Linked DNA regions of Kluyveromyces lactis. The protein of the gene in region 1 interacts with the protein of each later gene in a pairwise test. Links are inferred from orthologs where the notes say so. Each region holds a gene or a part of one and is shown in the gene's direction. Other genes may lie near its edges.

What was found.
Region 2: the proteins of PRE1 (region 1) and RAD23 interact in binary tests that used the Saccharomyces cerevisiae proteins (3 or more experiments, as listed by UniProt). The link is inferred for Kluyveromyces lactis from reciprocal best matches to the Saccharomyces cerevisiae genes PRE1 and RAD23.
Region 3: the proteins of PRE1 (region 1) and PRE4 interact in binary tests that used the Saccharomyces cerevisiae proteins (3 or more experiments, as listed by UniProt). The link is inferred for Kluyveromyces lactis from reciprocal best matches to the Saccharomyces cerevisiae genes PRE1 and PRE4.

What each region holds. Positions count from the first base shown.
Region 1 is NC_006038.1:1,023,651-1,026,245, reverse strand, and holds PRE1 (proteasome core particle subunit beta 4), read left to right. Parts: upstream 1-1,393; coding exon 1,394-1,981; downstream 1,982-2,595. Other genes in the region: DNA primase subunit PRI1, read left to right, coding at 1-1,002; DEAH-box ATP-dependent RNA helicase PRP22, read left to right, coding at 2,320-2,595. UniProt on the Saccharomyces cerevisiae protein: Non-catalytic component of the proteasome which degrades poly-ubiquitinated proteins in the cytoplasm and in the nucleus. It is essential for the regulated turnover of proteins and for the removal of misfolded proteins.
Region 2 is NC_006041.1:1,973,997-1,976,994, reverse strand, and holds RAD23 (Rad23p), read left to right. Parts: upstream 1-1,208; coding exon 1,209-2,360; downstream 2,361-2,998. Other genes in the region: ANP1 (Anp1p), read left to right, coding at 1-633; putative acireductone synthase UTR4, read right to left, coding at 2,808-2,998. UniProt on the Saccharomyces cerevisiae protein: Plays a central role both in proteasomal degradation of misfolded proteins and DNA repair.
Region 3 is NC_006040.1:986,423-989,196, forward strand, and holds PRE4 (proteasome core particle subunit beta 7), read left to right. Parts: upstream 1-1,421; coding exon 1,422-2,219; downstream 2,220-2,774. Other genes in the region: RTG2 (Rtg2p), read left to right, coding at 1-996. UniProt on the Saccharomyces cerevisiae protein: Non-catalytic component of the proteasome which degrades poly-ubiquitinated proteins in the cytoplasm and in the nucleus. It is essential for the regulated turnover of proteins and for the removal of misfolded proteins.

The sequences.
Region 1 (2,595 bases):
TTTGAGATCGGTGCAGTGTACAATAAACCGCCAAGGGAGCGCGACTCTTTACTTAAGACTGAGATGAAACCGATGGAGAAAGAATTAGTTTTCGATATCGATATGGATGATTATGATAGTTATAGAACATGTTGTTCTGGGGCACAAGTGTGTCCCAAGTGTTGGCACTTTATTAAATTAGCTATGAAAGTAATCAATTCATCTTTGGAAAATGATTTCGGTTTTGATGAGTTCATTTGGGTTTTCTCTGGTAGACGTGGTGCCCATTGTTGGATTAGTGACAAGAGAGCCAGGGTCATGACGGATTCTCATAGGAAGAACATGTTGGATTATATGAACGTGGTTAGGGATAGAAATATTGAGAAGAGATTGAATTTGGTTAGACCGCTGCATCCACATCTATCAAGATCTCTGGAGATTTTGAAACCTCATTTCGTTGAAATCATTCTAAGGGAACAAGACACTTGGAGAGATGATGAACTAGCGATAAAATCTTTGGCTACCAGTTGTCACGACAAACAGCTATCTGAGCAGCTAAAGAAACTATGGACCAACAAACCTGGAAGATCAAGTGAGGAAAAATGGAAGGACATGGATGTGATAGCGTCTCAGCTAATAAGTAGCTTTCCTAAACAGAGACAACACGATTATTTGCAGAGACTACGCGAGAGTAAAGAAGATATCATCATCCAAACGCTATACCCTAAATTAGATGTGGAAGTCACAAAACAAACCATCCATTTACTCAAGGCTCCATTCTGTATACATCCATCCACTGGTAACGTTTGTGTACCGATTACAGAAGAGTTCTCACCAGAAATGGCACCAAAACTTATAAAATTACAGAACGAAATGGATACTAACGATAATCAAGTGCAACGCACTTCACTACAACCGTACCTAGACATGTTCGGAAAGTATGTCAACAAGTTGGTCAAACAAGAATTATCCTCACAAAAGAGAGACCGTGAAGAAGATATCAAGTCGTCTATTGACTTCTGAATGCCTAATTCAGCTGTCTTGCATGATCAAGCACATATATACATATGTATATTTACAAATAAGAACAATACCTATTTATCGATACTACCTGAAACAAAACAGTAAAATAAAAAACATTCAACAAGTGTATTCTTAGTTACTATCACCCCACAATTGGCGCCTAGCTTGGGCTTCATTCCTGCGAATAAAACGCTTTGTCTGTTTCTCTCTCTGTGTATTGTCACCTTTCATACAGTGGAAAACCTTTAAATGATGTTTGAAAATGTTTAACTAAAATACAATTGACAAAAAGAACATACACTTACGGTGGCAAACCTTTATCAGGGAGGAAACAGGGAAATATAGGGTCTATCGACAGTGAAAAGAGTCAAAGTTTATACTAAATCTCCCAATGGATGTTCTATTAGGTATAAGAGTCAAGGATTCGGTGATATTGGCCTCTTCAAAGGCTGTAACTAGGGGTATTTCAATTTTGAAAGATTCAGATGACAAGACCAGACAATTACTCCCTCACACACTAATGTCGTTCTCTGGTGAAGCTGGTGATACAGTACAGTTTGCTGAATATATCCAGGCTAATATGCAATTGTATTTGATTAGAGAAAATTATGAATTGTCTCCTCATGCGGCATCGAGTTTTGTTAGAACAGAATTGGCTAAATCCCTAAGATCGAGGAAACCATTCCAAGTTAACGTATTAATCGGTGGTTATGATACCAAGAATGAGAAAGCAGAGTTGTACCAGATAGATTATCTAGGTACTAAGGTAGAATTACCATACGCTGCCCACGGTTACGCTGGTTTCTACACATTCTCTCTATTGGATCGTCATTACAGAGAGGATTTAACAGTAGATGAAGCCTTAGGTTTATTGAAGCAATGTGTACAAGAGCTAGAGCTAAGAATGCCAGTTGATTTCAAGGGGGTTATTGTAAAAATCGTGGATAAGGATGGTGTTAGGGTCGTTGACGACTTTTAGTGCAATCTTTCTAACCAGAATCAAGTACATACACATATTTACATCTTTTGTATAAACAAAACTCAAAGTAATATCTTATCTCAGAAATACCCAAGAGTCAAAAGCATTTTAAGTTTGGAGGTGTCGCTGGTAGATTAGCGTGTATCGATTTGTCTTCTCTCTCTTTTTGACGTTGATCAATATACAATTTTGAGATTTATTGACTTTATTGTAAACCATCTTATCTCATCTCATCTCAACAAAACATGAAAAAAAGGATAGGCAACATCACTGCAACAGCTTCGTCTGATCTGTCCTTTCTAGTACCTACCTAAGTTAAGGTTGCTGCTGCGAATAGCATGTCTGATGTCAAGAAGGAGATATGCAAAGTACTCGGTTTAGATGATGAGATAGTCGCTGATTTTATCATCAACATAAATAAGAACTGTACCACGAAGAATGAGTTTAAGAAAAAACTGTTGGAGATGGATCAGGATTTGAGTGCCGCTGTTGTGTCCGACATTTATGATGTGGTGAACAAGACTGCTGGAAGCACAGCAGCCACAAGGGTTAAGACTCTTCTTGCTGAGCAGCTTGATGTTCACGATGATGTTGTCACCAATTTCATTATGGAC
Region 2 (2,998 bases), on another chromosome or scaffold:
TTGAACTCATGGGTTGAATCTGAGGGTGGATTACAATTAGCTGATTCTTTGGATGAAGATGCTTGTATCGTAGAAGGGTACCCGGAATACGCTACATGGAGAACACATTTGGCCTACATGAGAGACCCAAGCGGCGATCCCGAGGTCGAGATGGAACTAGACGGAATTGGTGGTGTTTCCATCTTATCTAAAGCTAAGGTCTTTAGAACAGGTTCTCATTTCCCTGCGTTCTCTTTCGAGAAACATGCTGAAACTGAAGCCTTTGGTAAATTATCACGTAGAATGCAATACAGTGTTGTCGGTCTACCTCATTATGTGATCTGGCACATTTACGAACCTTCAAGTGACGATTTGAAACACATGGCCTGGATGGCCGAGGAAGAGAAACGTCGGGTTGAAGAGCAAAAAATTCAAGAGTTCTATGCTAGAATTTGGGATATTGGTTTCGATGACGTGAGAGATGAGTGGGAGCTAGAAAGGTTACAAATTTTGAAGAACATTGATCCGAATGTCCTAGATAGGAAGATTCAAGTGGACTGGTCAGATGATGATGAAGCAGATGATGGTTCAAGGAACGGAGGAAATAATCAAGATTCACATGAAGTACCACTGGACTTTGATCCTGCTCATTAATAATTTTCTGTTTAGGCAGTGAAGAGTAAAGAAGATTATAAAACCCACAAATACATTCTTCACTAACGAGATATTTTTTAAAAAGATATCTTAACCATCTAATTTCAATTCTCATCGCTTCCATCCCCTATTATTATTCAATTATTAGGCAGACTGTAACACGTTGGAGTATCTAGTTGTACAATATGCACCTTAGATCATTATCGAGGTTTTTATCAATAGACTTTTTTTTACATTTACGTTTAAATGCATTATATACTAATATTGTACTTGCAATAATCTGTTCATTTTGTTTACTTCAAACCATATTACTACTGGTAACTATTACAGGCAAGCAAATACTGAAAACACGTTATCAAGCTGCATTAAGCTGTAATTTTCAGCGTATTCCGGAGTTCTGCATCTTGTCAGATACCTTCAGTTTTTTTTTTTGTCAACATCGAAAATGAAAGTTGAGAACAGTGAAAGAAATTGAAATTAATGCCAAATCAACTTGAATCTGATGGCTGGGTGGCAAAGAAGATAAAGTCAAGAAAACAACCGTTGAGACAAAGTCCAAGAAAATCACAAGCATAATGCTTATTAATTTTAAAGATTTCAAAAAGGAAAAACTACCTATTGAATTGGCGGATGATGCCACCATTTCACACGCCAAGGAATTGATCGCTGAACAAAAACAGTGCGATGCATCTCAAATAAAGTTGATCTACGCAGGTAAGATACTCCAGGATCCTAAGACCGTATCAGGATGCAATCTTAAGGAAGGGGATCAGGTTATATTCATGATTAGCAAAACTAAGAAAAAGGCTGATGTTAAGGTAACTGAATCCACAACTGAACCCCAAGATGAATCTCAAGCCACTGCTTCTGCAGAAACTTCTGCAGTTGCAAATGCACCTGCGGAAGCTACAACCACTGGTACAAGAACAGGTACTACTGCAGTTACACAAGAAGAAGGGACGACTGATGCTTCGTTTGTCACTGGTTCTCAACGTAACGAGACTGTGAACAGAATCATGGAAATGGGTTATGATCGTGAACAAGTAGAACGTGCGCTTAGAGCAGCATTCAACAACCCTGACCGTGCAGTGGAGTATTTGCTTATGGGTATTCCTGAAGCCAGTGAGCCATCGCAGCAACAAGCTGAAGCTGTAACTAGTGAAGCTGGGGCGAATGCTAATTCTGAAGTTGCAACAGACGTGCCATCACAATTCACTGAACATGAAGACAATTTATTTGCACAAGCAGAAGCCAATAATGGCGAGCAAGGTCATGAATCCGCTGCTGGTTTAGGTGGAGAAGAAATGGGCACAATCGGATTGACTATGGAGGACATTACACAACTTCGTGACGTTGTATCTGGGCGTCCAGAGGCTTTAATGCCACTTTTCGAGAGTCTAAGCACGCGTTACCCACATCTCCGTGAGACCATGCTGCAAGATCCACAAAGGTTTATCTCTTTGCTATTAGAAGCTGTTGGCGGTTCCCTAACCGATTCTTTGGGTGAAAATCTGGGAGATGACATAGCAGAAGGTGATCTAGGTGATTTCGGGGGACAAACTCAAGGCGCGCCTCCCAATGTTACTATCTCAGCAGAAGATGAAGAAGCTATCAATAGACTTTGCGAGTTGGGTTTTGAGAGGACCTTGGTGGTGCAAATCTACTTCGCATGTGACAAAAACGAAGAAATTGCTGCCAACATGCTATTCAACAATTACGCTGATTGAATGTAGTATGATTTTTCAATAAACCATCGTCTCTTTAGGCATGTAGGGAAAGAAGAATATGTTCAAAATAGAAAACAAAAATAATTATCTCTACCAAATTTGTTTAATAATATGGAATATGCGTACTCATATCTCCAGCATGTAGTGTTTGCCAATCCAAGTATGACCTCTATACCGTCAGATTTTCCTACTACAGCGAAGGCATCCCACATATTCATCTTCCAATTTTTGCACACATACGCACTCATAATGAGCAGTTATACTTAACCAACCTTAGTCAATCTGCAACAGACGGAGCGTGGTATGTTCGATCTCTTACTTCCAACTTCAAGTAGGATTTGTGTTACAATCAATCAGATATCCCCTTCATTAATTTTTTTAAATTTATTCATCATTACACTATATCCTTAGTCCCAATTCAGAGAACCAGTGTACCTTAGACATGTCTTATATAGATGAGAAGTTATTAAGCGCTTTATATTTTTCTGCATTAGATACCGGGTTGTTTCCAGGCCTCAATGCCAAGATGGTGCTGATGCCTACATCCAAAGCTGCGTCTAACTCCTTGTCATTGTCGCTAATAAACACAACATCACTTGCTGATGATGGAGGCACTCCAATGCTTTTGAGAATATTGG
Region 3 (2,774 bases), on another chromosome or scaffold:
GAATATCCTATTCAAACAATTATAAATGGATTTTCATGCAGTTTTAGCGAGTTCTCAAACATGTGTGACTACTTGTTTTTGAAGGAGAGAGTTCCAGGTGAATCGGCAAGTAAGATCTTTAAAGTCTCTGATAGAAGAGCCAAACAATTACCAGCTGTAGGCCTACTCATGGCAGCAGCTTCCGAGTCATTGCCCAAGATCAAAAACGTTCATTTCAGTGAAGGTGGTGTCAGAGAAGGTACTTTATACTCGATTCTTCCAAGGGAGATTAGAGCACAGGATCCACTTGTCATTGCAACCAGACCCTATGCTCCTTTGCTTGTTCACAAATATTTGGAACTATTAAGGACTGCTATACCTACTAAAGAGATTCCAAAGATAGTATACGAAAGAATAGCTCCTGCTCTTTGTAACCTCGCTTTCGTACACGCTTCATATCCAAAGGAACTACAACCGACCGCAGCACTACGTGTAGGTACATCTGGTATCATTGCTGGGTGTCATGGGCTATCTCACAGATCAAGAGCTTTGGTGGGAATAGCATTGTGCAATAGATGGGGTGGAGACATACCAGAACCTGAAGAAGTGTACAAAAAGCTATTGGAAGACATTGCACTAAGAGATGGTGACAAACTAGAACGTGAAAGGACAATATGGTGGACAAAATACATTGGCACTATCATGTATGTCATTTGTGGTGTTCACCCTGGTGGTAACATTGGAGATGGTGTCTTCCATTTCAGCACTTCGGAGAAAGATGAATCGGCTATTGATTTACAGATGCTATCTATAGATGAGAACCTTTCAGGAAACGGCAAGCCAACTCCAACAGGGAACCCGAACAAGAGGATATTCGAAGTTGTTGTCAAGATTAACAGAAACGATCTAAAGACTATTGCTTCTGTGAGGCAAAGAATCATCACGTTGCAAAAGAAAATAAGGAAATTATCCCGTGGTTCCAGCGACAAGGTTAAGATCAATGTAGAATTCTATTGAACACTCAATTGCGATCTCAGTATGTATAGGCTTTATATAGAATGCTCTTTATTTTACTTCCCTCAGCCTCCCTTCCTGTTGAAGATTTAATATCTAATTTACCCTGTTTGTAACAAGCCTCAGACCCTAAAATGTGATATAAATATTCGTGAAAGCGCCATATAGGTAGTGTAGTGCGCTGCTGTGTACTACTATCCGATGGTCGTATCCTCTGTTGATCACTCTGTTTTAGCTGGAAAAATATAGCGTTACCCGCCCTTTAACATTTTACCTTATTAGAACGATTTTGCCACTATCGAATATAAGAGAGACATGCAATTCATAATTAATACATAAGGAGTTCACTTCACGACAGGTTACAATCAACACTAAAGAGTCACCAAGGGTATTTTCTGCGAATCCAATCCATTGAAACACTTTCCAACATGAATCACGATCCATTTGCCTGGGGAAGGCCATCTGACGAACACTATGGCGCGTACAATCATGCCATTGCCCAAGCGTCAAATAATCCAAAGATGAATACTCAGAACCCTATTATTACCGGTACTTCTGTCATCAGTATTAAGTATAATAACGGTGTTATTGTTGCAGCTGATAATCTAGGTGCTTACGGTTCGTTATTACGTTTCACAAACGAGGAGAGATTGATCAAAGTGGGTCCCAACACGGTTGTTGGTGTATCCGGTGACATTTCCGATATGCAATACATTCAACATCTATTAGACGAGATGGAAATTGAAAACAATTACGATAGCGCATATGCGGATAATGAGGAGCAATTGAAACCAAGCTTCGTTTTTGAATATCTATCATCTGTGATGTACCAACGTAGATCCAAGTTAGATCCTTTATGGAATGCGATAATTGTAGGGGGCACAGAAGATGGAAAGCCATTTTTAAGATACGTTAACCTATTAGGTGTCACATACTCTTCGCCAACGTTGGCTACAGGGTTCGGTGCCCACTTGGCATTGCCCCTTTTAAGAAAGCTAGTAGACACCGAAAAGGACGTGGAAAAAGTGAATCTAGATGTTGCTAAGAAAGCTATCCTAGAGGCAATGAAAATATTATACTACCGTGATGCCCGTAGTTCACGTAAGTTTTCATTGGCTATAATCGACAATGAACTGGGGCTCAATATCGAAAAGGACCTACAAGTAGAGAATATGTCTTGGGAATTCGCCAAAGACATCAGAGGATATGGTACCCAAAAGGTATAGGTTTCGGATTTACTTCGTCTTGTCTTCATGCTTTCACTTATCCACGCAGATAATACTTGCACCAAAATACACAATCTCATGCCAACAAAGGAAGAGCAACACATGGTGATCCTGCTCTGGTAATATATACTTTCTTTGTCAATAACGGGAAGACCTCACCTCTTCTGTGTTTTCTCTATAAATGTATACTATGCGTAAATTCTGAATTAGGGCACATATTCACACATAATACACCAAGAAAGAAACTGATCAAAACGGCGTCAATGCTGTCAACTACTGGACAGCCAGCTCAGTCATTATGTCACTAAGATATTTCGAGTGAAGGGACCTGTATATATGAAGGTTATCGTTGGAGTTACCTTTCTTTATTCTTTTACAGTTCCAATTCTTTTAGAAAACAAGTTTAATTCTATATAAACAAGTAGTAACCTAATTGATTAATGAATCATCGACAAAGGAAAGACTAGAGGACTTATAGCGCTAGCCCAGTATACCTATATTCCATACTCTCAAATACAACTGGCTTGTAGGGTAGGCATCTATACGCCAGGAAAC